Linked DNA regions of Macaca fascicularis. The main gene of each other region encodes a partner of the protein of the gene in region 2 in a complex. Links are inferred from orthologs where the notes say so. Each region holds a gene or a part of one and is shown on either strand. Other genes may lie near its edges.

Evidence for each region.
Region 1: MED1 (region 2) and CCNC share a complex: the UniProt entries of both Homo sapiens proteins name them as parts of the mediator complex. The link is inferred for Macaca fascicularis from reciprocal best matches to the Homo sapiens genes MED1 and CCNC.
Region 3: MED1 (region 2) and MED25 share a complex: the UniProt entries of both Homo sapiens proteins name them as parts of the mediator complex. The link is inferred for Macaca fascicularis from reciprocal best matches to the Homo sapiens genes MED1 and MED25.
Region 4: MED1 (region 2) and MED19 share a complex: the UniProt entries of both Homo sapiens proteins name them as parts of the mediator complex. The link is inferred for Macaca fascicularis from reciprocal best matches to the Homo sapiens genes MED1 and MED19.
Region 5: MED1 (region 2) and MED8 share a complex: the UniProt entries of both Homo sapiens proteins name them as parts of the mediator complex. The link is inferred for Macaca fascicularis from reciprocal best matches to the Homo sapiens genes MED1 and MED8.
Region 6: the proteins of MED1 (region 2) and PPARA are in contact, whole or in part, in a crystal structure (PDB 9IWM), measured with the Homo sapiens proteins. The link is inferred for Macaca fascicularis from reciprocal best matches to the Homo sapiens genes MED1 and PPARA. Residues at the interface, in NP_004765.2 of Homo sapiens: Asn638, Thr639, Asn641, His642, Pro643, Met644, Leu645, Met646, Leu648, Leu649, Lys650; in NP_001001928.1 of Homo sapiens: Val284, Thr285, Thr288, Glu289, Lys292, Phe297, Leu302, Asn303, Gln305, Val306, Thr307, Leu309, Lys310, Pro458, Leu459, Glu462, Ile463.
Region 7: MED1 (region 2) and MED21 share a complex: the UniProt entries of both Homo sapiens proteins name them as parts of the mediator complex. The link is inferred for Macaca fascicularis from reciprocal best matches to the Homo sapiens genes MED1 and MED21.

What each region holds. Positions count from the first base shown.
Region 1 is NC_088378.1:75,740,290-75,744,488, forward strand, and holds the start of CCNC (cyclin-C), read left to right. Parts: upstream 1-1,399; 5' UTR 1,400-1,532; coding exon 1,533-1,564; intron 1,565-4,199. UniProt on the Homo sapiens protein: Component of the Mediator complex, a coactivator involved in regulated gene transcription of nearly all RNA polymerase II-dependent genes.
Region 2 is NC_088390.1:60,495,343-60,499,306, reverse strand, and holds the start of MED1 (mediator of RNA polymerase II transcription subunit 1), read left to right. Parts: upstream 1-1,164; 5' UTR 1,165-1,358; coding exon 1,359-1,383; intron 1,384-3,964. UniProt on the Homo sapiens protein: Component of the Mediator complex, a coactivator involved in the regulated transcription of nearly all RNA polymerase II-dependent genes.
Region 3 is NC_088393.1:57,821,044-57,825,067, reverse strand, and holds the end of MED25 (mediator of RNA polymerase II transcription subunit 25), read right to left. Parts: coding exon of another isoform or gene 3,947-4,024; exon of another isoform or gene 3,912-3,946; intron 2,312-3,911; coding exon 2,067-2,311; 3' UTR 501-2,066; downstream 1-500. UniProt on the Homo sapiens protein: Component of the Mediator complex, a coactivator involved in the regulated transcription of nearly all RNA polymerase II-dependent genes.
Region 4 is NC_088388.1:15,892,852-15,897,014, reverse strand, and holds the start of MED19 (mediator of RNA polymerase II transcription subunit 19), read right to left. Parts: upstream 2,801-4,163; 5' UTR 2,768-2,800; coding exon 2,551-2,767; intron 1-2,550. Other genes in the region: TMX2 (thioredoxin-related transmembrane protein 2), read left to right, coding at 3,204-3,392. UniProt on the Homo sapiens protein: Component of the Mediator complex, a coactivator involved in the regulated transcription of nearly all RNA polymerase II-dependent genes.
Region 5 is NC_088375.1:191,388,151-191,392,236, reverse strand, and holds the start of MED8 (mediator of RNA polymerase II transcription subunit 8), read right to left. Parts: upstream 2,801-4,086; 5' UTR 2,617-2,800; coding exon 2,261-2,616; intron 1,606-2,260; coding exon 1,461-1,605; intron 957-1,460; coding exon 816-956; intron 629-815; coding exon 547-628; intron 185-546; coding exon 1-184. Other genes in the region: KICSTOR complex protein SZT2, read left to right, coding at 3,919-3,945. UniProt on the Homo sapiens protein: Component of the Mediator complex, a coactivator involved in the regulated transcription of nearly all RNA polymerase II-dependent genes.
Region 6 is NC_088384.1:5,378,399-5,381,898, reverse strand, and holds part of PPARA (peroxisome proliferator-activated receptor alpha), read left to right. Parts: intron 1-3,306; coding exon 3,307-3,467; intron 3,468-3,500. UniProt on the Homo sapiens protein: Ligand-activated transcription factor. Key regulator of lipid metabolism. Activated by the endogenous ligand 1-palmitoyl-2-oleoyl-sn-glycerol-3-phosphocholine (16:0/18:1-GPC). Activated by oleylethanolamide, a naturally occurring lipid that regulates satiety.
Region 7 is NC_088385.1:29,780,043-29,783,542, reverse strand, and holds part of MED21 (mediator of RNA polymerase II transcription subunit 21), read right to left. Parts: intron 2,383-3,500; coding exon 2,268-2,382; intron 1-2,267. UniProt on the Homo sapiens protein: Component of the Mediator complex, a coactivator involved in the regulated transcription of nearly all RNA polymerase II-dependent genes.

The DNA.
Region 1 (4,199 bases), on a different chromosome or scaffold from region 2:
GCGGTTGCCCACGCCTGTAATCCCAGCACTTTGGGAGGCAGAGGTGGGCGGATGACGAGGTCAGGAGATCCAGACCATCCTGACCAACATGGTGAAACCCCGCCTCTACTAAAAATACAAAAATTAGCTGGGCGTGGTGGTGCGCGACTGTAGTCCCAGCTACTTGGGAGGCTGAGGCAGGAGAATCTCTTGAACCTGGGAGGCAGAGGTTGCAGTAAGCCTAGATAGCGCCACCGCACTCCAGCCTGGGTGACAGAGCAAGAGTCTGTCTCAAAAAAAAAAAAAAAAAAAAGAAAAAAGAAAAAAAAAGAAAGAAAAAAAAAAAAGAAAGAAATCGCTTGATCCAGGCCGGGCCTGGTAGCTCACACGCCTGTTAATTCCAGCATTTTGGGAGGCTGAGGCGAATGGATCACCTGAGGTCAGGAGTTCCAGACCAGCCTGGCGAAATCCCCTCTCCACTAAAAATACAAAGATTAGATGGACGTGGTGGCACGCGCCTGTAATCCCCGTAATCCCAGCTACCGGGGAGGCTGAGGCAGCAGAATCACTTGAACTCGAAAGGTAGAGGTTGCTGTGAGCCAAGATTGTGCCACTGCACTCCATCCTGGGTGACAGACCCAGACTCTGTCTCAAAAGTAAAAAATAGGCCGTGCGCGGTAGCTCACGCCTGTAATCCCAGCACTTTGGGAGGTCGAGGCGGGCGGATCACGAGGTCAGGAGTTTGAGACTATCCTGGCCAACATGGTGAAACCCTATCTCTACTAAAAATACAAAAATTAGCCGGGCGTGGTGGTGCGTGCCTGTAGTCCCAGCTACTCCGGAAGGAGGCTGAGGCAGGAGAATCGCTCGAACTCCTGGAGGCGGAGCTTGCAGTGAGCCGGGATCGCGCCACTGCACTCCAGCCTGGACGACAGAGCAAGGTAAAAAAAACAAAAAACAAAAACAACAACAAAAAAAACTTGATCCGTGAGAACAAAGTCATCTTCATTTATTTCTCTTTCCAATCACAGGTAAAATAAGTCACAAAATCTTTTATTTTATTACAATGCCATTGTTCTGTTTTTGAAGTCCTGGAAGAGGTAATAACAGAACCCCGGAACTCAGCCACTTCGCCCAGGTTAGACCCCTACTCAGCAACTCCAGTGCTGAGGACAGGAGACCGAGCGCCGTGGGCCCCCGGCCAGAACCGGCAAGACGCTCTCGCGAGAGTCTTCCAACCGCCGTGAGCTCTCGTGAGCACTAGTTCTCTTCTATCTCAGCGCCCCCACAGGTCAGCACCTCCCCGCCGGCTCCCTCCGCTACCGCGGGCCGGAACTTTTGTCGATAGGAACGGGTTTGCACAGTTGAGTGTTGTCGGCCGGCGTGAAGGAGACTAGGGGGCCATCCTCTTCCTTTCGCCGTCGCCGCCGCGGAGCGGAGTCGAGCCGAGCTGATTTGATCGAGGAGCGCGGTTACCGGACGGGCTGGGTCTATGGTCGCTCCGCGGGCCGCTCCGCCGGCTGGTGCTTTTTTATCAGGGCAAGCTGTGTTCCATGGCAGGGAACTTTTGGCAGAGCTCCCACTAGTAAGTGATCTTACGTCTTCTCACCTGGGGCCGGTTTTTGGGGGGCTGTGAGGAAGGGGCCTGCGACTCCCTTGGGCCTGGATCCCGGCTCAGTTCCGAGTGCCGGGGTCCTCAAGGGAGACGGCAGCGGCCAGAAGCAAGATGCTCTTTTCTGAGGCGACTCCCCTCCCCGCCCCCAGCCCGTTTCGGGGAGGGAAGGATCTGTGAGGGGGAGGGGTGGGAGAGAGTTTAGTCTCCCAGGAAGGAACGTTTCAGAGTTTAATTTCGGATTTTTAGTTTAACTAGGCCGCAGGGGGTCGGATAGAGTGGGCACAGGTACGGGAAGTGTGACTCAGCTCAAGACTGTGAGGCTACCTGTTCAGGACAGTTGTGGCGTGCTTTTGCTTGGGATTTCTTCGGGTGATTGGCGTCGTGGTCTTTTGTCATTCACTGTATATCTTGAGTGGATTTAATATTCTGAGGAGAGGAGAGAGTCTGGCTTGTTTCTGCCTACTAACCTCTTCTTGCCAGTACTTTATGTCTAGATGGAGTTTTATATTGATAAGGTATAGGGCAGGTGCCCTGTAAACTTATCCATTTCATTAGCCTGTGCCTTATATTTTGTTTTAAAGGCGTATTTTTCCAGTGATTTTGTTTCTCTATTTCTTTAACCTTTTTCATGAATAAGTTCTTGTTTCTGTCAGTGACTATGTGAGAGCTAGAATAATATTAAAAACATTTATCTCTAAATACATTTGTTTAAGCAGGCAGGAAGATGCGTGATGGGGTTAATTGAACATTGAGTAGGCTTTCCACTGTATAGTTGAAAGATGAACAGAACTTGACAAAGAAGGTATCTTAGTATAATTTTTTATGCTAAGAAAGCATTAGTAAGTAATTTAAATTTCGATTCTGTGAATAGGATCTGTTCCTGATGTTCATTTTTTAGCCCTTTGCAAGGAGAAAAAAGAAACAATGAACTCGGTAACCTATTTAAGGAAAAGCAGGTTTTCCTCTTGCTATAAAGTGATTCTGTGGAGATGACATGTTAAAGAGGCAGGCAACTGATCATATGTGTATGTGTGTGTATATATATGTGTGTGTGTGTATTATATATATGTTGCATTGTTTTCACACACTGAAATATTGCTTGGGCAGAATTAAAGTATCGAAAGTTTAGGTATTGGAGTTAGAGCTCCTGAAAAAAAAATTTAGGTAGTGGAGAAGAGAGATTCTGATAAACTTTGAAAGAAGCTGAGAGAATTGACAAGTAGCTGACTGTTGATTTGTCAGTTTTTCAACTTAAAAAAAAGCTCCTACCTTTTTTCAATGGTGTTCTCATTATGCTTTCATTTATTCATAGCGTTATAAAAACATTTTTTCACTTTTCAAATATAAAATTATTACAAAGTTAAGTGTACTTCTTTGAAACTATTCTCCCAATTCAAATACTCCTAAAAGAAGGGATCACTTTGCCTTGCTCAGATCCCTTGAGCAGTCATAGAGTTTCTTATCTGGAAAAGGTAACAAGTATGGAAGACAAGACAATTCTGGAAAAACAAACAAAAGATTTTGAAAGGCCATTGTTTTAGCTGAATTTGGTGAAAGAGGGCAATTGACATTAAATATGCTATATTTCATGCTTCTAAGATGCATATTTTCACACTTTAACATCTTTGAAATGAGCATGGCAGTTTCTTTCATAGCATATGAAATAATGATGAATCCAAGATGTAATCTTAAATTTGATGAAATGCAGTATTTATAAATTTTTTTAGTTTATCCTGCATACACAGCTCTGAGGAAAATTCATAAAATGTTTGTGAAATTTATGAAATTTATCTTTTTAAAAACATAAAATGACTCTGTGGGGATGAAATTAATTAGCAAACCACAATGTAGTTGAAGTAGAACAAAACACAGTCTGTGACCAAAATGAACTAGAAGGGGACTAAGTATTTGCTGGGTTGATTGAATGCATTAATGAAGGAGTAACAAAAATAGAAACTACAAAACTAACTGTGGATACTTTATTGTGTGAAAAAGGAAACTGAAAATACAGTTACTTAATATCTATAAAATAACATCATAATATTACCATATATGGAATGTAACCAAAGCTTGAATGTATTAGAAAATCAATATCCTGAATAATTGAGAGATAATAGAAATATTCTATTTAATAATACTAAGAAGGAAACATGAAATAAGCCTAAAGAAACAGGAAGAAGATCTAAAAATAGATAACGCTGATGCTAATATATTAAAAGGAAAAAAATTATAAAAGATCATTCTTAGAGTAAACAAAAACAGTAGACGAAACTACTGCTAGTTAAATCAGGGGAGAAAGGAATGATACAAAAATACAAAATTAGGAATGAGAAAAGTAAACCCAAGGGTACTTTTGGGTTATCTCCAGGGTTTTAAATTTGAAAGCCAAAGCAAGTTAAGAGTATTACCCAAGAGCTATGCCTTATTTCATGGGTAAATACATCTTTCAAGAGAATCTCCTTTTGAAATTGTTCCATTTCATACAGAAAGAAGAAAAGCTTTCCTTTACAAAGCCATGATAACACTTACAGAAAAATCTAGTAAAGGGAACACTAAAAACAGTCTCACTTTTGAATACTGATGCAAACATTGTAAATGAATTATT
Region 2 (3,964 bases):
TGTCACGATCTCCGCTCACTGCAAGCTCCGCCTCCCGGGTTCACGCCATTCTCCTGCCTCAGCCTCCCGAGTAGCTGGGACTACAGGCACCCGCCACCACGCCCGGCTAATTTTTTTCTATTTTTGGTAGAGACGGGGTTTCACCGTGTTAGCCAGGATGGTCTCGATCTCCTGACCTCGTGATCCGCCTGCCTCGGCCTCCCAAAGTGCTGGGATTACAGGCGTGAGCCACCGCGCCCGGCCGCGCCACTATCTTTCTTAGGATGTAATTACTGCGTCTAGTATCTCAGGTTAAACTTATTTTTCTTTTTTTTTTTTTTTTTTTTTTTGAGACGGAGTCTTGCTCTGTAGCCCGGGCTGGAGTACAGTGGCCGGATCTCAGCTCACCGCAAGCTCCGCCTCCCGGGTTTACGCCATTCTCCTGCCTCAGCCTCCGGAGTAGCTGGGACTACAGGCGCCCGCCACCTCGCCCGGCTAGTTTTTTTGTATTTTTAGTAGAGACGGGGTTTCACGGTGTTAGCCAGGATGGTCTCGATCTCCTGACCTCGTGATCCACCCGTCTCGGCCTCCCAAAGTGCTGGGATTACAGGCTTGAGCCACCGCGCCCGGCCCAAACTTATTTTTCATGAGACATTTCTGATACCGATACCCTTTGAAATGCTAGTCTTGGCCGGGTGACTAGCCAAGGCGAAACCCCGTCTCTACTAAAAATACAAAAATTAGCCAGGCGTGGTGGCGGGTGCCTGTAATCCCAGCTACTAGGGAGGCTGAGGCAGGAGAATCGCTTGAACCCGGGAGACGGAGGTTGCAGTGAGCCGAGATCGTGCCATTGCACTCCGGCCTGGGCGACAAGAGCAAGGCTCCGTGTCAAAAAAAAAAAAAAAAAAAAAAAGCCAGTCTTTAAGTACAGCGACATGTTAATTAATCAGTTAATTTGCGAGTTAACTGCTAAAATAAAATAAGCAAAAAAATGCCGGTTTCCGAAGGGAGCTGAAAGCTACATACAGCGGCGTGAGGCCTGAGACAACTCAGATCAAAGAAGACAGGGCTGAAAGAAATCTCGCGAGGCCCACGCATCGACCAATATTCGCGAGATTTCGATGCCCTGTCCTTTTCCTCTTTCTGGCAGGACCACGGTTTATCTCGCGAATTTTGGGAAGTTCCGTTGGGGAAGATGGCGGCGGCCTCGAGCACCCTTCTCTTCTTGCCGCCGGGGACTTCAGACTGATCCTTCCCGCGAAGAGTAAGGGACTGCTGGTACCCTGCGTCCTGGAATCCCGAGCCAACTTGTTTCCCCCGTTAGTGGTGGGGAAGGGCTTATCCTTTTGTGGCAGATCCAGTCTCTCGCCGCCTTCAGGATGAAAGCTCAGGGGGAAACCGAGGGTAAGTGACTGAGGGGGAAAGGAGGGGGCGGGACACAACTGGGGGAGCCAGTTTGTGAGAGAAGGTTCTTGCAGATGTCCCATGGGGGCCACTTGAGGGGCACAGAGTCCGGGAGAGGGAATGTGTATGAGTTTTAGATTGTCACTATACCCTCCTTGATGACTATAGAGCTTCGACTTTGGGGTGATGGGGACTCTCAACTTCTGTGAAGATTTCATGCTCGGCTAGGGCACTTTTGGCCTAAAGTGGTGCGAGACGGGGCTAGTGAATACAAAACCAGCTTACATCTCCTTCCAGAAGAGACGCCTGAATAAATTTAGGGCTGTGTGTAAACGTACTGGAGACTATTTTGGCATGAATGAAATGATTAATTCCTTGTATTTATTAGCAGCCAGCGGATCCCTACAATGTCAAGTGTTCAGATCCTGTACTGTTGTGTATTTTGTTTTTGTTTTTGTTTTTTTTTTTTTTTTTTTTTTGAGACGGAGTCTCGCTCTGTCGCCCAGGCTGGAGTGCAGTGGCCGGATCTCAGCTCACTGCAAGCTCCGCCTCCTGGGTTCACGCCATTCTCCTGCCTCAGCCTCCCCAGTAGCTGGGACTACAGGCGCCCGCCACCTCGCCCGGCTAGTTTTTTGTATTTTTTTTTAGTAGAGACGGGGTTTCACCGTGTTAGCCAGGATGGTCTCGATCTCCTGACCTCGTGATCCGCCCGTCTCGGCCTCCCAAAGTGCTGGGATTACAGGCTTGAGCCACCGCGCCCGGCCTGTTGTGTATTTTTAAACTGTGCTGAATTTAATTCTTTTATTGACCGAACTAATAACTGCAGAAAAACAACTTTCCTGGGGAACTTTACTAAGATTTTCTAAAGTTCCACACTCCGGCTTAGATGCTTCCTTGGCATTTTGGGCATAGTTCTGTTGATACAGTGAGCTGTGTTATTGTTTGTTTATCTCCAGTTTACTCTGAGCTTTGCAGATTAGGGTCCTTGCCTGATTCATTTTTATATAGTTTCTGGAACGTAATAGTCGCTCAAAAAATCTTGGAGCATCGAAGTGCAGATATTTATCAGCAGGTTTCTCAAGAAAAACAAGGAGTGTGTTTTGGAGGAGAGGTCGAAAGGTGAGGCCCCGCGGGAGCAGTGACTCACATCTGTAATCCCTGCGCTTTGGGAGGCTGAGGCTGGAGGATCCCTTGAGCCCAGGAGTTCGAGACCTGCCTGGGCAACATAGTGAGGCCCTGTCTCTACAAAAAAATGAAAAATTGCCGGGCGCCGTGGCTCACGCCTGTAATCCCAGCACTTTGGGAAGTCGAGGCGGGCGGATCACCTGAGGTTGGGAGATTGAGACCAGCCTGACCAACATGGAGAAACCCTGGCTCTACTAAAAACACAAAATTAGCTGGCTGTGGTGGCGTATGTCTGTAATCCCAGCTACTTGGGAGGCTGAGGTGGGAGGATCACTTGAACCCAGGAGGTGGAGGTTGTGGTGAGCCAAGATTGTGCCATTGCACTCCTGCCTGGGCAACAAGAGGGAAACTTCCTCTCAAAAAAAAAAAAAAAAAAAAAATTGGCTGGGCGTGGTGGCTCATTCCTGTAATCCCAGCATTTTGGGAGACCAAGGTGGCGGATCACCTGAGGTCAGGAGTTCAAGACCAGCCTGGCCAACATGGTGAAACCCTGTCTCTACTAAAAATACAAAATTAGCCCGGCATGGTGGCATGCCTGCAATCCCAGCTACTTGAGAGACTGAGGCAGGAGAATCACTCAAACCCAGGAGGTGGAGGTTGCAGTGAGCCAAGGTGGTGCCACTGGACTCCAGTCTGGGCAACGAGAGCAAAACTCTGTCTCAAAAATATAAATAAATTAATTAAAAATAAATAAATAAATAAAATAAAAAATAAAAAAAATTAGGGCCAGGTAGTGACTCAAGGATGTAGTCCCAGCACTTTGGGAGACCGAAGCAGGCAGATCACTTGAGCTCACAAGTTGGAGACCAGCCTGGACAACCTGGCAAAAGCCTGTCTCTACAACAAATATAAAAATTAACTAGGCATGGTGGCACAAGCCAGTAGTCTCAGCTACTTGGGAGGCTGAGGTGGGAGGATTACCTGAATCCTGTAGGTCAAGGCTCCAGTGAGCCAGAATTGTGCCACTGCACTCCAACCTGGGTGACAGAGCGAGACCCTGTTTCAAGGAAAAATTAGCTATAGCCCCAGCTACTCTGAAGGCTGAGCTGGGAGGATCACTTGATCCTGGAGCATGGGAGGTCGAGGCTACAGTAGACCTTGATTGTGCCAATGCACTTAAGCCGGGGCTGCAGAGTGATGCTCTGTCTTAAAAAAAAAAAAAAAAAAGAAAAAATGTACTCCTCAGGTGCAAGGGGAGAAGGGTAAAAATGGAAACTTTGTGAAGTAGGAGTTTTTGTCTGGTTTGTTCACTGCTGTCTTTTTAGCAATTTCATTTATTCTTTTTCTTTTTTTAAAAAATTTTCCTCTCTAACCCAGTTCAATAACTTTTTTTTGACACAATGTCTCCATCTGTTGCTCAGGATGGAGTAAGTGGTGTGATCAAGGCCCATCTCTG
Region 3 (4,024 bases), on a different chromosome or scaffold from region 2:
GTCCTTGTTCTCGAGTCTTCTCCTTCTTCCAGAGGTCGCAAAATGGCGGCCTGGCGGCCTCATTAGACCCACAGGCAGATTTTGTTTGGTCCTCACAGTGTTTTTGGTTTCAATTTGAATGCCATTAGGCGGGGCAAGCACTCTCCAAGTTCGCCACAGTCCCCATCATTCCCTGTTGTCTTACACCCGTCCGCTTCACACATTTTCATCACCTGCCTGGTCCCTGAAGCCATCTGAGTTTTCAAAAACCCCTGCTACACAGGCTGCCTGGGAAATCCCCCACTTTCACTTCTTCGCTGTCACCAGTGCCTCCTGCTCCACACGCACATTCCTGAGGATCGCCTAGAGAGCTTGCTCACACGACTCCCACACCCCCGCCCTCCCCCCGCTGGATCCAGCAGTTCCAGGGCAGGGATGGGAAACTCACATGCCTACAGGGGCCAGGCGGGTCACATAAATGAGTGAACTAGCCAGGTATAAGAAAAGTCGACGGCCAGAAATATCATCAAATCGGATCTTTACTGAACTATGGTGAATGCATGGAACATAATACAAACATGGATGATACTGGAGTTTATATTTTTAAATTCAAAATTGAAAAAATACAAATTGAAAAATAGAAATATTTAATTATTAAAATTCTCTTTCATAATTCTTTTTGCGCCTTTGAGTTGAAGCCAAAAGGCTGGCGTCTTCCCTTCCACACCGAGATGTGTCAGGCCTTGGGGTGGCACGGTGGGGATGGGCAGTTTAGAATTCAGCCTTGAATCCTTAAACTGGGAACAATGTTTAATTTGATTCAGGTTCGTAACGGAAAACAGCTGTTCACAAGCGTGGGTACTCCCAAACATGGATATTCAGGACAACTACTGGAGATAGTTGTAGAATCTCACCATCTTCACACAGACTTGTATTTAGGAACCAGCGCCGTATTGCACCATAGTTCAATTACTATTTATGGTCTGTATTCACACAAGAAACATTTACCAACAAAGGCAAACTGGACAGTGTCTCTTCCTTCTCATGAGTCTGGATTCCGAGGGCCTTTGGGGGAATTTGGTCTTCCACCCCAGGACGTAGGTGAATATAGTCCAGGCCACGTCTTTCACTTCTGAAAGCCAACTGTGGCGTAGGAAAGAGTAAATGTTTTTTTTCCTTGCTGGTGGATTCCCCGTTTTTGCCAGGACCAAGCATATACCATCTTACATTCAAGTAGCTGTTTGTGGACATCCTTGCAGAGAAATATTCAGTGTTCAGAACGGTCATAACCTTGACCAGAAGTCTTTGACTAACCTTCTCAGGGGAACCCACTGTGGCTTTTGCTTGATTTAAAATGAACCAAGCTGATTAACTTGTACAGTTTCAATTTCTTCCACAACCAAGTCACAGAGCTTCTGTGAAATCTCTCAGGTCAAGTCATCATCAACTCACTCGTGACTAAAGCCCAGGAGCGGAAGTGTCGAGAGCGTCACGGTGTGTTCTGTTCAGCTGCTCAGAACAAGTCAACTCCTGATGATGGATGCAACGACCCGACTTCCGTGTCCTTGCCAAATTGTCACCTTGGCTCAAGGTGTCCTGTCAAGTCCCCCTGTCATGACAGCTGTCTGTAGTTGTGCTTCAGAACTCTGGCCAGTCTATGTGAAACTTTTCTCTCAATATACAAAAAAAAAAATGAGTCCTTTCCCAGTGTTGGGCCCGCCTTGGCACCATGCCACAGACTTCTTCAGTCACATCAAGTTTCTTAACACCACAAATAAATAAAGCTAACTGGGTGGTAATAGTTTATGAGCAGCGAAAGAAAAGGCCACAATCAATTTGACTCTTTCAAGCAACTGGACTTCTAAATCCCCCGAGTTATCTCCAACTCACTGTGCAACGCAAATGCCCGTTAGACTTAAATAATGGTCTCAACAGTCATGTGTTTCTGTAAAGGACACGTCACTCTGCTCCTTTATCAACTCGCCATCTGCTGTAGCTCTGAATGCCCAGGTCATTCTTCTCACGTGATTCCGGAACGGCGTACCACTGCCGCACCACTTCTGTTAATTCGCTTTTCAAGACAAACCCTACTGACATTTGAGTCCCTTTTTCAGTTCGCTGAGGATGGCGTCTCGAGTCTGCTCTGTGTACTGGTCGTAGCTCTTGCTATGCTTTGATTCGTAGTGGCGTTTCAGGTTGTATTCTTTCAACACAGACACGATTTGTTTGCATATTAAACACATAGGCATGCTCTTCACTTCCACAAAGAAATAGGCTCGCTCCCACTTTTCTCGAAACACGCGGCCCTCTCCTTCTCTCTTTCGTTTTGCCGCTTGTGATACAGACATGAGTACAAGAAAGATTTCACTTTCCTCTGAATGCTACCACAGAACAACCACAGTGCAAGCCCCGTGACAAAGGCAGTGACTCTCTGCCTCACAGGGGAGCCAAGAGGGAGTGGTGGGGACTGTGGCGAACCGGAGAGCACACGCCCCATGGAGAGGGGCAGCTCCAGCCCGTTGTTGCCAGGCAGAAGGGCGGGCCCAGGGGTGCCAATTCTTCTGACTTGTCAAAAGATGCCAAGACTGCAGATTTTGCGTGTGTGTGTGTGTGTGTGTGTGTATTAACCTGATTTTTATAACTAACTCAAGAAAAAAATGCCACATATGCTAACACAGGGAAGGCCAAACAAAACTCATCTGCACCATGGCCCATAGGCCACCAGATTGCAATCTCTCTCCTGGGGTGGGGCCTGTGAATCTGTACGTTAACCAGCATCCAAAATGATGTGGATGCTGGTGGTCCAGGCATGGACCGCGCTCTCAGCAACACTGGTCCAGAGTCCGACAACAGACAACTCACTCTCCACCTCCAGGAGAGACCGCCCTGCGCTCCAAGCCTGTCTGGATCCCCTGCCCTCAGGATGTCTCTGAGGCCATCCTTTAGGTCCCTCACCTTGCCACATCCCAAACCTGTTCCCTGCTGGGTATTCCATCCTGGGGACAGACCCACCGTCTTCCCGTCCACAGCCCTGGAAGGTCAGTCTCTGATGTGGACCCAGGGACCACCCTCTCTCCATGTGCGATCTTGTCTGCTTCTGTGGCTTGAACCCCAAACATACACTGTCCTCTAAGGACACGTCCTGAGCTCCCAAAATGGCACCTGTCACCTGGACGTCCCTTGGACCACGTACACTTACTACCAGCTCCTTCTCCCAGGAGCCCCACCACCTACCATCACGTAGGCCTGACCCCAGAAGCCAACCTCTACCCCAGTCCCCAGCATCCCCACCACCCAGCCTCACCCTTCCTGGCCTCCTGTCTGGTCTCATCACGCTCCACAGCTGAGAGGGCTCTTTCTGACATCCAGAGCCGGCCTAAGCCCGCCCCACCGCTCAAAGTCTCCTGGTTCTCCTGTGTCCCCAGGACAAACCACGGGCTGCTCAGTTTGGCATCTGAGCTCCTCAAACTCTGCACCTGCCCATCTCTCTACACATGAGCTCCCTACACGCTCATGCTCCAAAAGCATCCATCAATTTGCTCCTCTCAACATCCCAGGCTTCCTCCTGTCTTTGAGTATTCAAAGTTTCTGTTGTTCTCTGCACCCAGATCACCCCTCACCTCCTTCCCTCCCGGCCTGACAGCTGATTCTCTTTCAAGACTGAGGAGCTGGGGCTGGGTCAGACACCTCTTCCAGGCTCCCATGGTGCCCCGCCACCTCCATGAGAGCTTGAGTCCTGAGCGCTGCCTGCCTGTCCCTGCATCTCCCACGAACCAGGTTGCACCAGACTGCCTCTGACTCACCACGGAGGCCCCGGCGTCACCCACCCAGGGCCCCAGGGATATCTGCTGAAGTGAGAACAAGGACAGAGATGCCCCCTGGGGTTTCCTCCTGCCCAGTCCTGGGGGATGTCAGTGACGGGAGCCGGGGCGTGTGTTAAAAAGGAACTTTATTGGGTGTTGGGGATTCAGATGAGATCCATGAGGATGTCGTCCTCCATGACGCTGGGCTGCAGGCCCGGCTGGGGGACCGGGCCTCGGGGACC
Region 4 (4,163 bases), on a different chromosome or scaffold from region 2:
GAATCGCCTGAACCTGGGAGGCGGAGGTTTCAGTGAGCCGAGATTGCGCCATTGCACTCCAGCCTGCGCAACAAGAGCAAAACTCTGTCTCAGGAGAAAAAAAAAAAAAAAAAAAAGAGAGAGAAAGGCAGCATCTTGGAGACCAAACATGTCCAAAACAACTCGATTTCCACCTCTTCAAACTTGTTCCTTCCTCATCTTCCAAGTCTCATACCCATACACCCAATTATTCAAGCTGAAAACTTAAAAAGGCATCAATTCTTCTATCTCCTTCACTTCTATATACAATATGTATTTTTAACTGAGACAGCTTCTTCCTCTATCATCTAAGCTGGAGCACAGTGGCACAATCACAGCTCACTGCAGCCTCAACTTCCTGGGCTCAAGTGATTCTACCACCTCAGCTTCCTAAGTAGCTGAGACTACAGGTGTACGCTGCTATCCCTAGCTAATTTACTTTTATTTTTTGTAGAGATGGGGTCTCATTATATTGCCCAGGCTGGTCTCAAACTTTTGGGCTCAAGCAGTCCTCCCACCTCAGCCTCCCAAAGTGCTGGGATTACTGGCGTTAGCCACAGCACCTGGCCCTATATTCAGCTTTTCAACCCTGTCAGCTCTACGTCTAACACCCTGTATCCATTTACTTCTCTAAATAAGTACATTTGACCAAGTTCCTATGTTAAAATGGCTTTCCTTGGCTGGGCACAGTGGCTCAGGCCTATAATCCTAGCACTTTGGGTGGCCAAGGTGGGAGGACTGTCATTGGCCAGGAGTTCAAGACCAGCTTGGGCAACACAGTAAGACCCAGTCTTTACAAAAAATTTTTAAGTTAGCCAACTGTGGTGGCACATGCCTGCAGTCCTAGCTACTTGGGAGGCTGAGGTGGGAGGACAGCATGCGCCTAGGAATTGGAGGTTACAGTGAGCTATGACTGTACCACTGCAGTCCAGCCTGGGTGACACAGTGAGACCTTGTCTCTATAAAAAATTGTTTTAAATGGCTTCCTTTTGTATTTACAATCTAAATGCCTTTATTGCTTTATAAAAGCCTCTGCCTAACTCTCCCAGCTTCATCTCTCTCCTAACACTCTTTCCTTTTGTTCACTTCACTGGAGTCCAACTGATTTTCTGTCCCTCAGATATTCTAAGCTTTTTCTCACATCAGGGTTTCTGACCTCATTTCCTGTATCTAGAATTATCTCTCCCTCCTGTCCATAGCTGGCTGGCCCTTTGTCTATGCTTACATTTTAGTTCAAATTTTAGCTATGTGGAGAGAGCATCTCTGGCCACTCTAGCTAAAGTAGTTCTGCCCCTCAATTTTTTTTTTAAGAGACAGGGTCTCATCTGTTGCCCAGGCTGGAGTGCAGTGGCACAATCTTGGTTCACTGCAGCCTGGACCTCCTGTGTTCAAGCAATTCTCCTCCCTTAGTCTCCTGAGTAGCTGGGGCTACAGGCAAGCACTACCACGGCCGGCTAATCTTGTATGTTTTGTAGAGACTGGGTCTCGCCATGTTGCCCAGGCTGGTCTCAAACTCCTGGGCTCAAGGGATCCTCCTGCCTCAGCCTACCCAAGCGCTGGGATTACAGGCGTGAGCAATGCGCCTGGCCACCTTCAATTTTTTATAATGTTTTCTCTTCCTAGCATTAACCACTCTCTGACATTATCTTGTTTACAATGCCTCCTACACTGAAATGTACATTCCAAAAAAGGCAAGCATCTTGTCAGTCTCGTTCACAACTGTATCTCCAGCATTTAGAAAAGTGCTTGGTACATAGGTACTCAACAAAATAATTTTTTGAATGAAAAGAGTTTGGTTCGATTCTTACCCCTTCTTTGATGACACCAGGAAACGCAGAAATCTTGGAAGAGTGGCAACTTGCCCCAAACCCACAGCAAGTCTGTGGGAGACTTGTAACTAAAACTTTAGGTCCCCAAAGATATTAAATCAGGCCTCTCGAGTTCCAAACTCAAACTCTTGATTTTTTGTTTGTTTGTTTTTGTTTTGAGACGGAGTCTCATTCTATCGCCCAGGCTGGAGTGCAGTGGAGCAATCTCGGCTCAATGCAACCTCCGCCTCCCGGGTTCCGAGTAGCTGGAATTAAAGGCATACGCCACCACGCCCAAGTAATTTTTGTGTTTTTAGTACAGACAGAGTTGCATCATGTTGGCCAGGCTGGTCTCGAACTCCTGACCTGAGGTGATTCGCCCGCCTCCGTCTCCCAGAGTGTTGGGATTACAGGCGTGAGCCACTGCGCCCAGCCCTAGATAATTTTTTAGGGAGACATAAACCAGTGTCAGGAACACAGCCTGGACATGGTGCAAAAGACAGTCACGGAGATGCACCACCCCGCTCCCCGCCATTCATCCCTTTGGTTGAATTCAACTCATCCCTCTGCTTGTGAATCCTAATAGCCCTTTCGACTTAGGGCTCCACAGTCCGGGTATGCGTTGCCTAGGTTACCTCGCACCTCCGTTAGCCGGCTGAGAGCCACGCCCAACACCTCCTCTCTAAGATTTGATTGGCTGGCTTTGGCAAGGCCGAGTACTCACCTGGCAGTTCCCTCATGAGGTAAAAAGGGCCACAGCCAGCTCCTGACTTGTCCGCGCCGGGAGGGGCCGTGGCCGCGGTGGGAGGCGGAGCCGTGCCGGGTCCCCCGCCCGGAGGAGGCGGTGGCGGGGGTGGAGGCTTTCCTGGTCCGAAGCCTAGTGCGGTTGGGGGCGGTGGTGGGTCAGCCTGAGCCCCGAACAGCGCCGTGAAATTCTCCATCGTCCCCTCCGCCCCGGCGCTGTCTCGGTGTCTGGCGTTGGTAATTTTCATTGGACAATGCCTTTAAGGAATACCCACCTCTTTCTCAAGGAACCGCTTGTCATTGGATGCCTCAGGCACCGCCTACCTTGTTTCAACAACTACTTCCGTCGCTCTCTGAGAACGTTCAGGAAGTGCTATTTAACCTTATTAGAGTCTTCTGCTAGCTACGTTAGCTACAGTCCAATAAAATGACTTAAGCTGATAAAGCGACAGCTAGACCAACCAATAAGATATTAAGTTCTTTTTTGGGTTCTGACATACCACAGCGTTGACAGAACTACATCCGGGTTTAGAGGCCGTACGTTTGAGATGTAGCCCAATAGCAGTCGCTATGGTGGGGGAGGCGGGGCCGGACCTACGACGCCGGTGAGCAGTGGCCCTTGCGGCCGAAAAGATGGCGGTCTTGGCTCCTCTAATTGCTCTGGTGTATTCGGTGCCGCGACTTTCACGATGGCTTGCCCAACCTTACTACCTTCTGTCGGCCCTGCTCTCTGCTGCCTTCCTACTCGTGAGGAAACTGCCGCCACTCTGCGACGGTTTGCCCACCCAACGCGAAGACGGTAACCCGTGTGACTTTGACTGGGTGAGCGTCCCGCGTCTCAGTACCGCGACCTTGACTGTCCCTGCCCTTGCAGGTGCATCTGGGAACCCTGGGGTTTACCTTTCTGAGGACACCTGAGGTTCCGAGCCTGTAGCGGATTTAACAGACTGTAAAGTGCAGAGTCCGAAACATCGTCGAGACTAAACTTTGTGTTTAATATGGGAAAACGGAACCTGTTAGTCGTAGCCCTGTACAACGGCCCAACAGCTTCTGACTGTTGAGTCCAGGTTTCTTTCCATTTCACCATTTAGACTAAGAAACAGCCCTGTCAAAACTGTACATATACGTGTATAGCATCTTACAGTGCCGCTCATTATGTAAAGCCTCCTGAGGAGCCAGTAAGGTAGGGAAGGCAAGTAGTAGTAGTCCTGTTTCATTGGTGAAGGAATGGATCTTGGTATATTTAGGCGACTTGCCCCAGGTCATGCAACTAATGAGTGCCTGGGACTTGAAACTATTCTTGTGGCCACACTACCTGCACACACTGTCAGCCGTTTCTTAATTCAATCAACATTTCTAGAGTGTACACTCTAGGCACTCTGCTTGATCCTGAGGATGCGAAAGTGGATAAAATTTTGGGGCTACTGTAAAGGAATTGTAAAAAATAAGTTGTAAAGAAATCTTTGGGCTTTCTTTGAGAAGTGTCCCAAGCTCCTTGCTGTGCTTCCTTGGAATGGGTGGAGGGACTGCTCAGAACATGAACTTAAAGCACTTTACCCTCTGCTATATAGCATGTAAGGGCCAAGGCAAAGC
Region 5 (4,086 bases), on a different chromosome or scaffold from region 2:
GCCATCTGCACCTGCTGTAATCCTGAGGTTCCTGCAAGGATCGTCCCAGCTCCTGGCTGGCCTGGCTGGCCAGGACCACTGCTGCCTGAAGGTCTCCAGTTAGACAGTCCTTTCCCAAAGGCAACAGCTGCCACCAAGGCATTAGTGTCTGTAGGGTTAAAGGTCTGCTTGTTTGGCCGGAGACCTGAAGAAAAAGTAAGTGGGGATCCTGAAGTATGTTTCTGATGCAGGACTGAACGTGGCAGCTGGAAGACCAGTATGAGTGCCAGGGTTTAGAGTTCTGAATTCAGCAGCATCTAGACTCCCTCACAGCCCATAAAAAGAGCCAGAGGACCCCCAAGCCTATCTCAGAATTCTCTCTTCTTACTTTGCCCATTTCCTCCACTGCTTCAGGGTTGGCCTTAAATACAAAAGGCTAACAGAATGGATGCAAACCCTAAAGCAGTTCACTCTTGTGTCCTAACTTCACTACTCTCGAAACAACCATTCCCATTCCAGTGATCTTATATACCTCTCCTTCTCTGTTTTGCCACCAGTCCACCATACCTCCACTCTCTGATTCTCGCTCCTCTTTGCTGATTTTCTCCAGAAGGTTTGAACACATTTTATTCAAGCTCTGGATCTGCTTCTGTAACACACAAATTTGTGCAGAGATTAGGGTAACTAGGAAACGATATGGACAAATTTATTCCTTGGGTTCTGCCAGAAGCAGCTTAGGTGCAACCAACTATGCATCCCTACTAGACAGGAATGGTAATGCCTAGCTTCTCATGATGGGATGGGGATGGGGCAGCAAGGCAGTGACTCAGTCCAACCTGGGCTGCATCTGCACCAATGCGGGCAGCATCTGTCGTCAGTTGCTTCTCCTGTTCTTCCACCTCAGGGTCAGGCTTGGTTCTCAGATGGTCAGGGACTACCTCATGGCTGAAAACGGGCACCCGTCCTTCAGTCTGCCGCTGCAACACACAGATTTTATTGATCCTACTATGCACTCCAAGAAGATTCTATCTGGCCTGATATACAGTCCCATCCACAGGCAAACAGTGCATTTTCAAGGAAAATACAACCTAAGACATAATATCTAGTTTCCTAGGACACAATCTCCTTTACTCCAGCCTTCATTTTTTGTGTCTTCTCACATCCCTATCTCTACCAGACCTAGAGGCAAATTAAACTATCACTGTCTGCCACGTTTCAAAGACTGAAACAGACAAAGTCACCAAAGGGCAGACTTTGTGGCTTGAGACAGATGTTGGAGAAGGAAGGTACCAGCCTTGGTGACATACCCCTCAGGTTATTACAACACTATTTGGGAGTGGCTCTCCCACCTTCAGAAGAACAAAAAGCAAGGCCTCCAAAATTATTTCTAAGTTCTCAGCTAAGAACTTAATTTCCCTAAATAGTAAAGAAGCCTAAAAAACTCCTTAATTTCCCAAGTTGTATTCTTTTTCTGCTCTTACCATGAGATCTTCATCTCGGTCTGGAGACAACACCAGAGGGATGATGACCTGGTTACGGAACAGCGGTGTTTTTTCATGCTTCAAGACCTTGTTCAGAGTGTTCAACTGTCCAGAAAGCAAGGCAAAGCTGTCCAGGACAGATGGCCTGTTGGCAGTAAGCAGGTGTCAGAATGTTCCACCCCTTCCTTGGGTGGTTCTTAGTAAAATAGTCCTAGTTCCTTCAGGCTAGGAACACTCGGATTTATCCCCAAAAGTCTCATAGCCCTATGACTAGCCTAAGTGGGAAGAAACTAACAAGGATGACAGGGTTATGAAAGAGGGACATAGTTTCAGTTTATGAAACAGATGTAGAAAAAATCCAGTTCATTGTTTGAATGAGGTGAGGAACAGTGGCAAAATAGGACTATACTGTTATAACTAAAACTTCAGAAACCCGGTAAAATCCTTCTTTCCAGCCTGGAAATAGGATCCACACTTCAGAGTAGGTTGGATCTAAAGGACTCAGCCATATTTGTGGCAAGAGATCCAGCACAAATAGAGCTGTAATAGGAGGACCTCCTCACCAGAGAAGTCAAAGGGTAAGAATTGAAAGCTATAATGAACTTGGGTTAGGAAACCGAGCATTTCTCTACTTCCTTGCCATGGAAGCCACTTGCTAAATGTTACGAAACCCAGCTCTTTCCAAATCAAAAGATGTTTGTAAACTGATAAATGGTTACATCATTAGAAGTGTCCTATTCATCAGAAGGCTAGGCCCCCCCACCCATAAGCCCTCCCTAGCTTGCCCTGGCAACCCTTACCAGGTCAGCCGGCCATACTCGTTCTCCAACTTGCAAATGAAACTTCCCAGTGAGTTCTTCAGATCAGCCACTTGACTCAGCAGTGCATCTAATGATGCCTCAAGCTGCTTCTCCTCTCTCTGCACCAATAGGAACAGGTTGGTTACCCAGATAAACGAGTATGACACATAGAAAGGAGGGCTGAAAAGCCAAGGAGATGGTGTGCAAACACCAGTCAGGTAACAGGATCTCATTGGCATAGGATAACCAGGTTGTTTCCTATCTGTGGTATTTGGGTTATAGACAGCATCAACCCTGAGACCTTTCAACCGTTTGCCTGACCCAAGTACTTCCACCAACTGATTCCTTTTTCCCATCCGCTCCTAATCTATGCCTGGTTTTTCTCTGTATTAGGTACACCCTACACTCCCTCATTGAGACATTTTCGACAAACCTAATGCCAGATCATTATCTCATGTGCACCTCTGTAGCACATGCACTCCAGCTTCCTCCATCCTAGCATTTGTGAGCCTGGCTCTCTTGTCAGTCTCTGGGAAATCTGCCTACTCATGAAGACTTCTCTGAATACCAGCCCTGCTCTCCTCTTTCCCTCCCCCCACCAACCACTCCAGCTTTCCATCTGCTCTCATCATTTCATGTTTCAACCTTCTCCTCGCTGAATTAATATGCACCCATCTATCTCTGTGTCAATATTCCCGTGCCTCTTTCACAAGCTCGGTCAACCCAATAACATTTCTTGAGACTACCAGCTGCAGGAAACTAAGTGACAAATGAAAACCAAAACCGCACATGCTTCTAAGCACTGAACAAACAAATTAAAATGCCGGGGGTCTGCAAAGCATTTCCTTCCCATCGGTGGTATCCTGTTTTATTCCATTTCTTCACCCTTAACAACTATAGGGCACAGGCTGGGAAGAGTGATGCAAAACTGTCTTGCAAACCTGCTAAGGTGCCTGACAGGAACTTGATCCTGGGTTCCACCATGGCCTCACATTACAAGCTGCTTAGCTTTCGGACACCGCGGCCCACAATTCCCTCACTGCTTGGGCTTCTTTCCAATTAGATCCCCTGCTATATCGGCATCCAACAGCCTCCATCCAGCAGCTTAGGACAGGGCCTGAGCCAACCCACCACCTCCTGAGCCGTCTTCCTTGGACTGCATCTCGGCCTCCCCGTATTACAACCTAATCCTTTCCCACGCCAAGCAAGTCAGTGCTGCCTCCTCCCTCCGGATTTAGCCCGACCGCCTTCTGTCAGGCGAGCTCCACCCCCACCTCTCATCTGCGCCGCTCCCTCTCCAATTAACCTCGCCCCCCAACCCACGTTCCCTTATCAGCCGTGGGTTCTGCCCTCTTTTCTCAGTCCCAACTCTTCATTCTCCTTAGCCAGCCCACTCTGGCTCCCTGTAGCCGAAGCTGGCCAGCCGCTAGCACTCCCAACGCGGCTCTCACCTGCATTGCGGCGGCCGAGGCGACTGCAACGATTTCCACTTCCGGTTTCCTGTCAGCAAACGCCTCTGAGAAGGCTTCGTCCACCAATCAGAAAACTGGAACTCGGCCCTCCCACCCACTTCCTGTTCCTTCCGGGTGCCGAGGTAGCCAGGTCAGGGGTCAAGAGTGGAACACACGGGCCCGGGCCGGCGCGGGAGGGCTTGTGTGATGGCCTCGGAGCGCCCCGAGCCGGAGGTGAGGGGCGGGCGGACGCAGCACTGGGCCCTGAGATCCGAGGGGGAGGGTCCGGCGGGCAGGCGTGGCGTTGGCCTCCTCTGGGTCTGGGGGTGGCCGGGCTGCGTAGCCTCGGCAGGGACCAGCCCAGCCCGGAAGGCC
Region 6 (3,500 bases), on a different chromosome or scaffold from region 2:
GTGGGCTGGTCTCAAACTCCTGACCTCATGATCCACCCACTTCAGCTTCCCAAAGCGCTGAGATTACAGGCGTGAGCCACCATGCCCGGTCTCTCTTTCTTTTTCTTTCTTTCCTTCGTTCTTTCTTTTTCTCTTTCTCTCTTTCTCTCTTTCTTTTTCTATTCTATTCTATTCTATTCTATTCTATTCTATTCTATTCTATTCTATTCTACTCTACTCTTTTTTTAGATGGAGGTCTCACTGTGACACCCAGGCTGGAGTACAGTGGCAGCACAATCTCAGCTCCCTGCAGCCTCAGCCTCCCAGGGCTCAGGTGATCCTCCCACCTCAGCTTCCCAAGCAGCTGGGATTAGAGGTGCACACTGCCATGCCCAGCAAATTTATGTATTTTTTGTAAAGACAGGGTTTGACCATGTTGCCCAGGCTGGTCTCAAACTCCTGAGCTCAAGTGATCTGCCGACCTCAGCCTCCTAAAGTGCTGGGATGACAGGCATGACCCACCGTACCCAGACCACTGTTACATTTTCGTATGAATAGTCTCACCACATCAAAAAACCCCATGCTTCACCTATTCGACCCTGCCTCTCCCACCCCTAGCCAGCTCAGAAATGGTTCTTTTTACCGTTGCTATAATTTTGCCTTTTCCAGAATGCCATGAATTTGAAGTCATATAGTATGTAGCCTTTTCAGACTGATTTCTTTTATAACAATATGCATTTAAGAGTCATTCATGTCTTTCCATGGCTTGATACCTAATTTCTTTTTACACTGAATGAAGTCCCACTGTCTGTTTGTACCACAGTTTGTATATCTATTCACCTATTTAAGGGCATCTTGGTTGCTTCCAATTTTTGGCAATTAAGAATAAAGCTGGCCGGGCGCAGTGGCTCACACCTATAATCCCAGCACTTTGGGAGGCCAAGGGGGGCAGATCACTTGAGGTCAGGAGTTTGAGACCAGCCTGGCCAACATGGTAAAACCCTGTCTCTACTAAAAATACAGAAATTAGCTGGGCATGGTGATGGGTGCCTGTAATCCCAGCTACTTGGAAGGCTGAGGCAGGAGAATCACTTAAACCTGGAGGCAGAGGTTGCAGTGAGCTGAAATTGTGCCACTGCACTCCAGCCTGGGTGACAGAGTGAGACTCTGTCTCAAAAAAAAAAAAAAAAAAAAAAAAAAAAAAAAAAAAAGCTGCTCTAAACTTGTGTAGGTTTTGTGTGGACAGAAGTTTCCAAATCAACTGGACAAATACCTACGAGTGTGATTCCATCATACAGTAAAACTGCTTTGCTTTGTCAGAGACTGCCAGAATGTCCTCCAAGGGGGCTGTCTCATGTTGCACTCCCACCAGCAATGAATGGGGGTTCCTGTTGCTCCACATCCTCACCAAATTTGATGATGTCAGTTTTGTGGATTTTGGTCATCCTAGTAGGTGTGTGGTGACACCACATTGTTGTTCTCATTCTCAATGCCCCAATGACATATGATGCTGAGCATCGTTTCATATGCTTACATGCCATCTGTATATCATCTTTGCTGAAGTGACTGTTCAGATCTTTTGCCCATTTTTTTTTTCCTTTTGAGACGTAGTCTTGCTCTGTCACCAGGTTGGAGTGCAGTGGCATGATCTCAGCTCACTGCAGCCTCCGCCTCCCGGGTTCAAGCGATTCACCTGCCTCAGCCTCCCAAGTAGCTGGGACTACAGGCGCACGACACCACGCCCGGCTAATTTTTGTTATTTTTAGTAGAGACGGGGTTTCACCGTGTTAGTCAGGATGGTCTCCATCTCCTGACTTCGTGACTGCCCACCTTGGCCTCCCAAAGTGCTGGGATTACAGGCGTGAGCCACCACACCTGGCCGCCACACGCAGCCCCCATTTTTCAATTGAGTTGTTTGTTTTCTTATTGTTGTTTTAAGACCTCTTTGTATATTACCACATGTGTATTGAAAATATTTTCTCCCAGTCTGTGGCTTGTCTTTAATTTTCTTAGCAATGTGTTTTGCAGAGCAGAAGGTTTAATTAGCTTTCATAAATTCCAACTTATATTTTCTCTTTCATGGATTATGCATTTGGTGTTACCCACACAGATTTTTATACTGTATTCTGGTGCCATTTACTGAGTTGGCAATTGTGGAAGAACTGGAAGGAAAGAAGCAAACAAAAAGAGTTCTGTGTGGCACTGTCAGCGCGGGGGCACGGGGAGTCCTGCAGGGTGAGGTATGGGCGAGATGGTCTGGTGATGTGTGCAGCGGAGATGTGCGGTCCCCGGATGTGCAGATCAGGAGATGTGTGGGTCTGATGTACCGGTCTGGAGAAGTGCGGTTCCCAAGATGTGCGGTCCGGAGATGTGCGGGTACCCAGAGGTGCAGATCGGAGATGTGGGGGTCCGGAGATATGCGGATCAGGAGATGTACCAGTCCCGAGATGTGCGGATCAGAGATGTAGAGGTCCCGAGATGTGTGGATCCGGAGAGGTGAGGGTCCCAAGATGTATGGAGCAGGAGTTGAGGGAGTCCGGAGATGTGCGGAGCGGAGATGGGGGGATCAGGAGATGTGGAGGGCCAGGAGATACGCGGGTCCGGAGATGCGCAGATCAGGAGATGGGCGAATCGGAGATACGTGGGTCCAGAAATGTGCGGAGCGGAGATGTGCGAATCAGGAGCTGTAGGGGGTCAGGAGATGCACGGGTCCAGAGATGCGGGGGTCCGGAGATAGTGGGTCTGGAGATATGCAGAACAGAGATGAGCAGATCGGAAATGCACGGGTCCAGAGATCCACGGGTCCAGAGATCTGCGGTTCCGGAGATGCACGGGTCCGGAGATGCGCAGGTCCGGAGATGAGAATCTGAAGATGTGTGGATGGGAGATGTGCAGGTCCGGAGATGCGCGGGGCGGCGATGCGCTGATTGGAGATGCTCGGATCAGAGATGCTCAGATCGAAGATGTCGGAATGAGGAGATGTGCAGGGCGGAGATGTGTGGATTGGAGACACTCGAGTCCGGAGATATGCGGGGCGGAGATGCGTGGGTCTAGGGATGCGTGATCTGAGATGTGTGGGTCCGGAGCTCGGGGTCAGCTCAGCAGCAGTCGGAGCGAGCATGCTGGCTTTGGGAGCACAGCACAACGGCAGCTGTAGGAGTGCAAGAGGGTGTGACCCAGAGGCAGGGCCCGGCCCTGCATGGGTATTCTGAGGTTTACGCCTCAGCATTAGATGCCTCATATGCTAAATCACATCCTCGTAGACCCGGTTCAGACACAGGATAGTGATGCCTGGACTATTCATCTGTCTCTCCTCTTTTTCCCCAGACACGCTTTCACCAGCTTCGAGCCCCTCCTCGGTGACTTATCCTGTGGTCCCCGGCAGCGTGGACGAGTCTCCCAGTGGAGCATTGAACATCGAATGTAGAATCTGCGGGGACAAGGCCTCAGGCTACCATTACGGAGTCCACGCGTGTGAAGGCTGCAAGGTAGAGGGGACCTGGAACAGGGCCCGGTGGCTG
Region 7 (3,500 bases), on a different chromosome or scaffold from region 2:
TCCCTGTTTGCAGATGACATGATTGTATATTTAGAAAACCCCATTGTCTCAGCCCAAAATCTCCTTAAGCTGATAAGCAACTTCAGCAAAGTCTCAGGATACAAAATTAATGTGCAAAAATCACAAGCATTCTTATACACCAGTAACAGACAAACAGAGAGCCAAATCAGGAATGAACTTCCATTCACAATTGCTTCAAAGAGAATCAAATACCTAGGAATCCAACTTACAAGGGATGTAAAGGACCTCTTCAACAGGAACTACAAACCACTGCTCAGTGAAATCAAAGAGGACACAAACAAATGGAAGAACATACCATGCTCATGGATAGGAAGAATCAATATCGTGAAAATGGCCATACTGCCCAAGGTAATTTATAGATTCAATGCCATCCCCATCAAGCTACCAATGAGTTTCTTCACAGAATTGGAAAAAACTGCTTTAAAGTTCATATGGAACCAAAAAAGAGCCCGCATCTCCAAGACAATCCTAAGTCAAAAGAACAAAGCTGGAGGCATCACGCTACCTGACTTCAAACTATACTACAAGGCTACAGTAACCAAAACAGCATGGTACTGGTACCAAACAGAGATATAGACCAATGGAACAGAACAGAGTCCTCAGAAATAATACCACACATCTACAGCCATCTGATCTTTGACAAACCTGAGAGAAACAAGAAATGGGGAAAGGATTCCCTATTTAATAAATGGTGCTGGGAAAATTGGCTAGCCATAAGTAGAAAGCTGAAACTGGATCCTTTCCTTACTCCTTATACAAAAATTAATTCAAGATGGATTAGAGACTTAAATGTTAGACCTAATACCATAAAAATCCTAGAGGAAAACCTAGGTAGTACCATTCAGGACATAGCCATGGGGAAAGACTTCATGTCTAAAACACCAAAAGCAACGGCAACAAAAGCCAAAATTGACAAATGGTATCTCATTAAACTAAAGAGCTTCTGCACAGCAAAAGAAACTACCATCAGAGTGAACAGGCAACCTACAGAATGGGAGAAAATTTTTGCAATCTACTCATCTGACAAAGGGCTCATATCCAGAACCTACAAAGAACTCAAACAAATTTACAAGAAAAAAACAAACAACCCCATCAAAAAGTGGGCAAAGGATATGAACAGACATTTCTCAAAAGAAGACATTCATACAGCCAACAGACACATGAAAAAATGCTCATCATCACTGGCCATCAGAGAAATGCAAATCAAAACCACAATGAGATACCATCTCACACCAGTTAGAATGGCGATCATTAAAAAGTCACGAAACAACAGGTGCTGGAGAGGATGTGGAGAAATAGGAACACTTTTACACTGTTGGTGGGATTGTAAACTAGTTCAACCATTATGGAAAACAGTATGGCGATTCCTCAAGGATCTAGAACTAGATGTACCATATGACCTAGCCATCCCATTACTGGGTATATACCCAAAGGATTATAAATTATGCTGCTATAAAGACACATGCACACGTATGTTTATTGCAGCACTATTCACAATAGCAAAGACTTGGAATCAACCCAAATGTCCATCAGTGACAGATTGGATTAAGAAAATGTGGCACATATACACCATGGAATACTATGCAGCCATCAAAAAGGATGAGTTTGTGTCCTTTGTAGGGACATGGATGCAGCTGGAAACCATCATTCTTAGCAAACTATCACAAGAACAGAAAACCAAACACCGCATGTTCTCACTCATAGGTGGGAACTGAACAATGAGATCACTTGGACTCAGGAAGGGGAACATCACACACCGGGGCCTATCATGGGGAGGGGGAAGGGGGGAGGGATTGCATTGGGAGTTATACCTGATGTAAATGACGAGTTGATGGGTGCAGCACACCAACATGGCACAAGTATACATATGTAACAAACCTGCACGTTATGCACATGTACCCTACAACTTAAAGTATAATAATAATAAATAAATTTAAAAAAAAAAAAGATTTAGAAAAAAAAAAAAAAATTTATAAATGGGATGCCTTCCTTGTTAAGGTCCCTCACTCAGCTAAATTAATACAAATTCTCCTCTAAAGGAGTAACAATCTATTATCTGACATGAACCAGAATTATGAGATGTTAGGTGAATTGACTAAGTTTTTTACAACAAACAAAACTTGCAATATCCTCAAGTAACAATATTTTTAGAAACAAAATAAGCTGAATTTCTCAAGAAATCTAATTTTAAAGGATAACAAAAAATGTGAGAGTCAAAATAAGAGAAGCTAAGAAAATCTGTTTACCTTCTGTAGGGTTAGCAGGCTGGTCTTTGTTAATTGCTGTCTGAATATTACTGAAAGAGGCAGGAGGACCACATTGCTGCAATACTCCAATGGCATTACAAAACTGATCTGCAAGCTTAGGCCAAAGAAAACATGTCGAGGTTAGAAAGGACTTATCAGTTTTAAGGACTTTATTGGTAACAGCAACAACAATAAGTTTCTGTAATGCTAATCTCTGAGCAAGGGAATAAAACAGAAAGGAGTAATTGTTGATAAAATAAGCCAGTTGATTACATGTTTTAATTCTGCAAAGAAACTAAGTTTGGTATCAATCTAGGTGAAGTAAAATTTGATATAAATCTAGTTGGAACAGTTGAAATACAAAACAATCTTTCTTTTCTTGTTATAGTAAAATGATAAGAGAACACTGGCCAATACTTATTGTAAGCCACAAGTAAAGACTTTTTGCGGACAGTGATGGAAAAGAGCAAATTTGACTTGTAAATATCTAAGTATGGCATCACGTTTAATAAAAATTTATTACTCATGCACAAAGTATATGATTCCTTTTCTGAGACTGGAGTAGTTATAAGTGTAAAAAAAATAGTGGGGAAAAGGCTGCTCAGAAAAGCACCTTGAGTAATCAGAAATGTATCTGTTCAAGACTCAATTTTTAAACTCTTGTACTCTAAAAGTACTCCGTAAGTACTTTTAAAGATGGAGAATATCAATTCCTTACCATCTCCAAATTAAATACACCTATCCTCCCCACCAATTTCTCTCACCTAGTCTTGACCTCTCAAACCTCCTATTTCTAATAAGCATTTCCTTTGGGTTTCTCTGCCATTGTTTCAATGACAGAACTCAAAGGCAACTGTTTCCTCTGTTTAATATTTAATTTGTATTGAAAGTCTCCTAGTCAACCAGTCTAACTTCAGATTCTTGCTTTCCTTTGATCTTCAAATTATGCTAATACTACAAATCTTCCTCTTTTCCTTCTATCATTATTGTTGCTTAGTTCAACCAATTATCTCACACCAGAATTATTACAATAGCCTTCTTGTTGTTTGCCAGTTCACCAGGTTATTTATTTTACCCTGATAAAAACATTTGAGCTTACTCCACCACTGTCTTCAAGGTAAACCTCCAACTCAGGCTGTTTTGAAGCTTTCAACAATCTAAGTCAACTCTACTGACTTGTTTTCCACTACTCCTTCATATTTACCTAACTAGTCATAAAGTCACTTATGACTA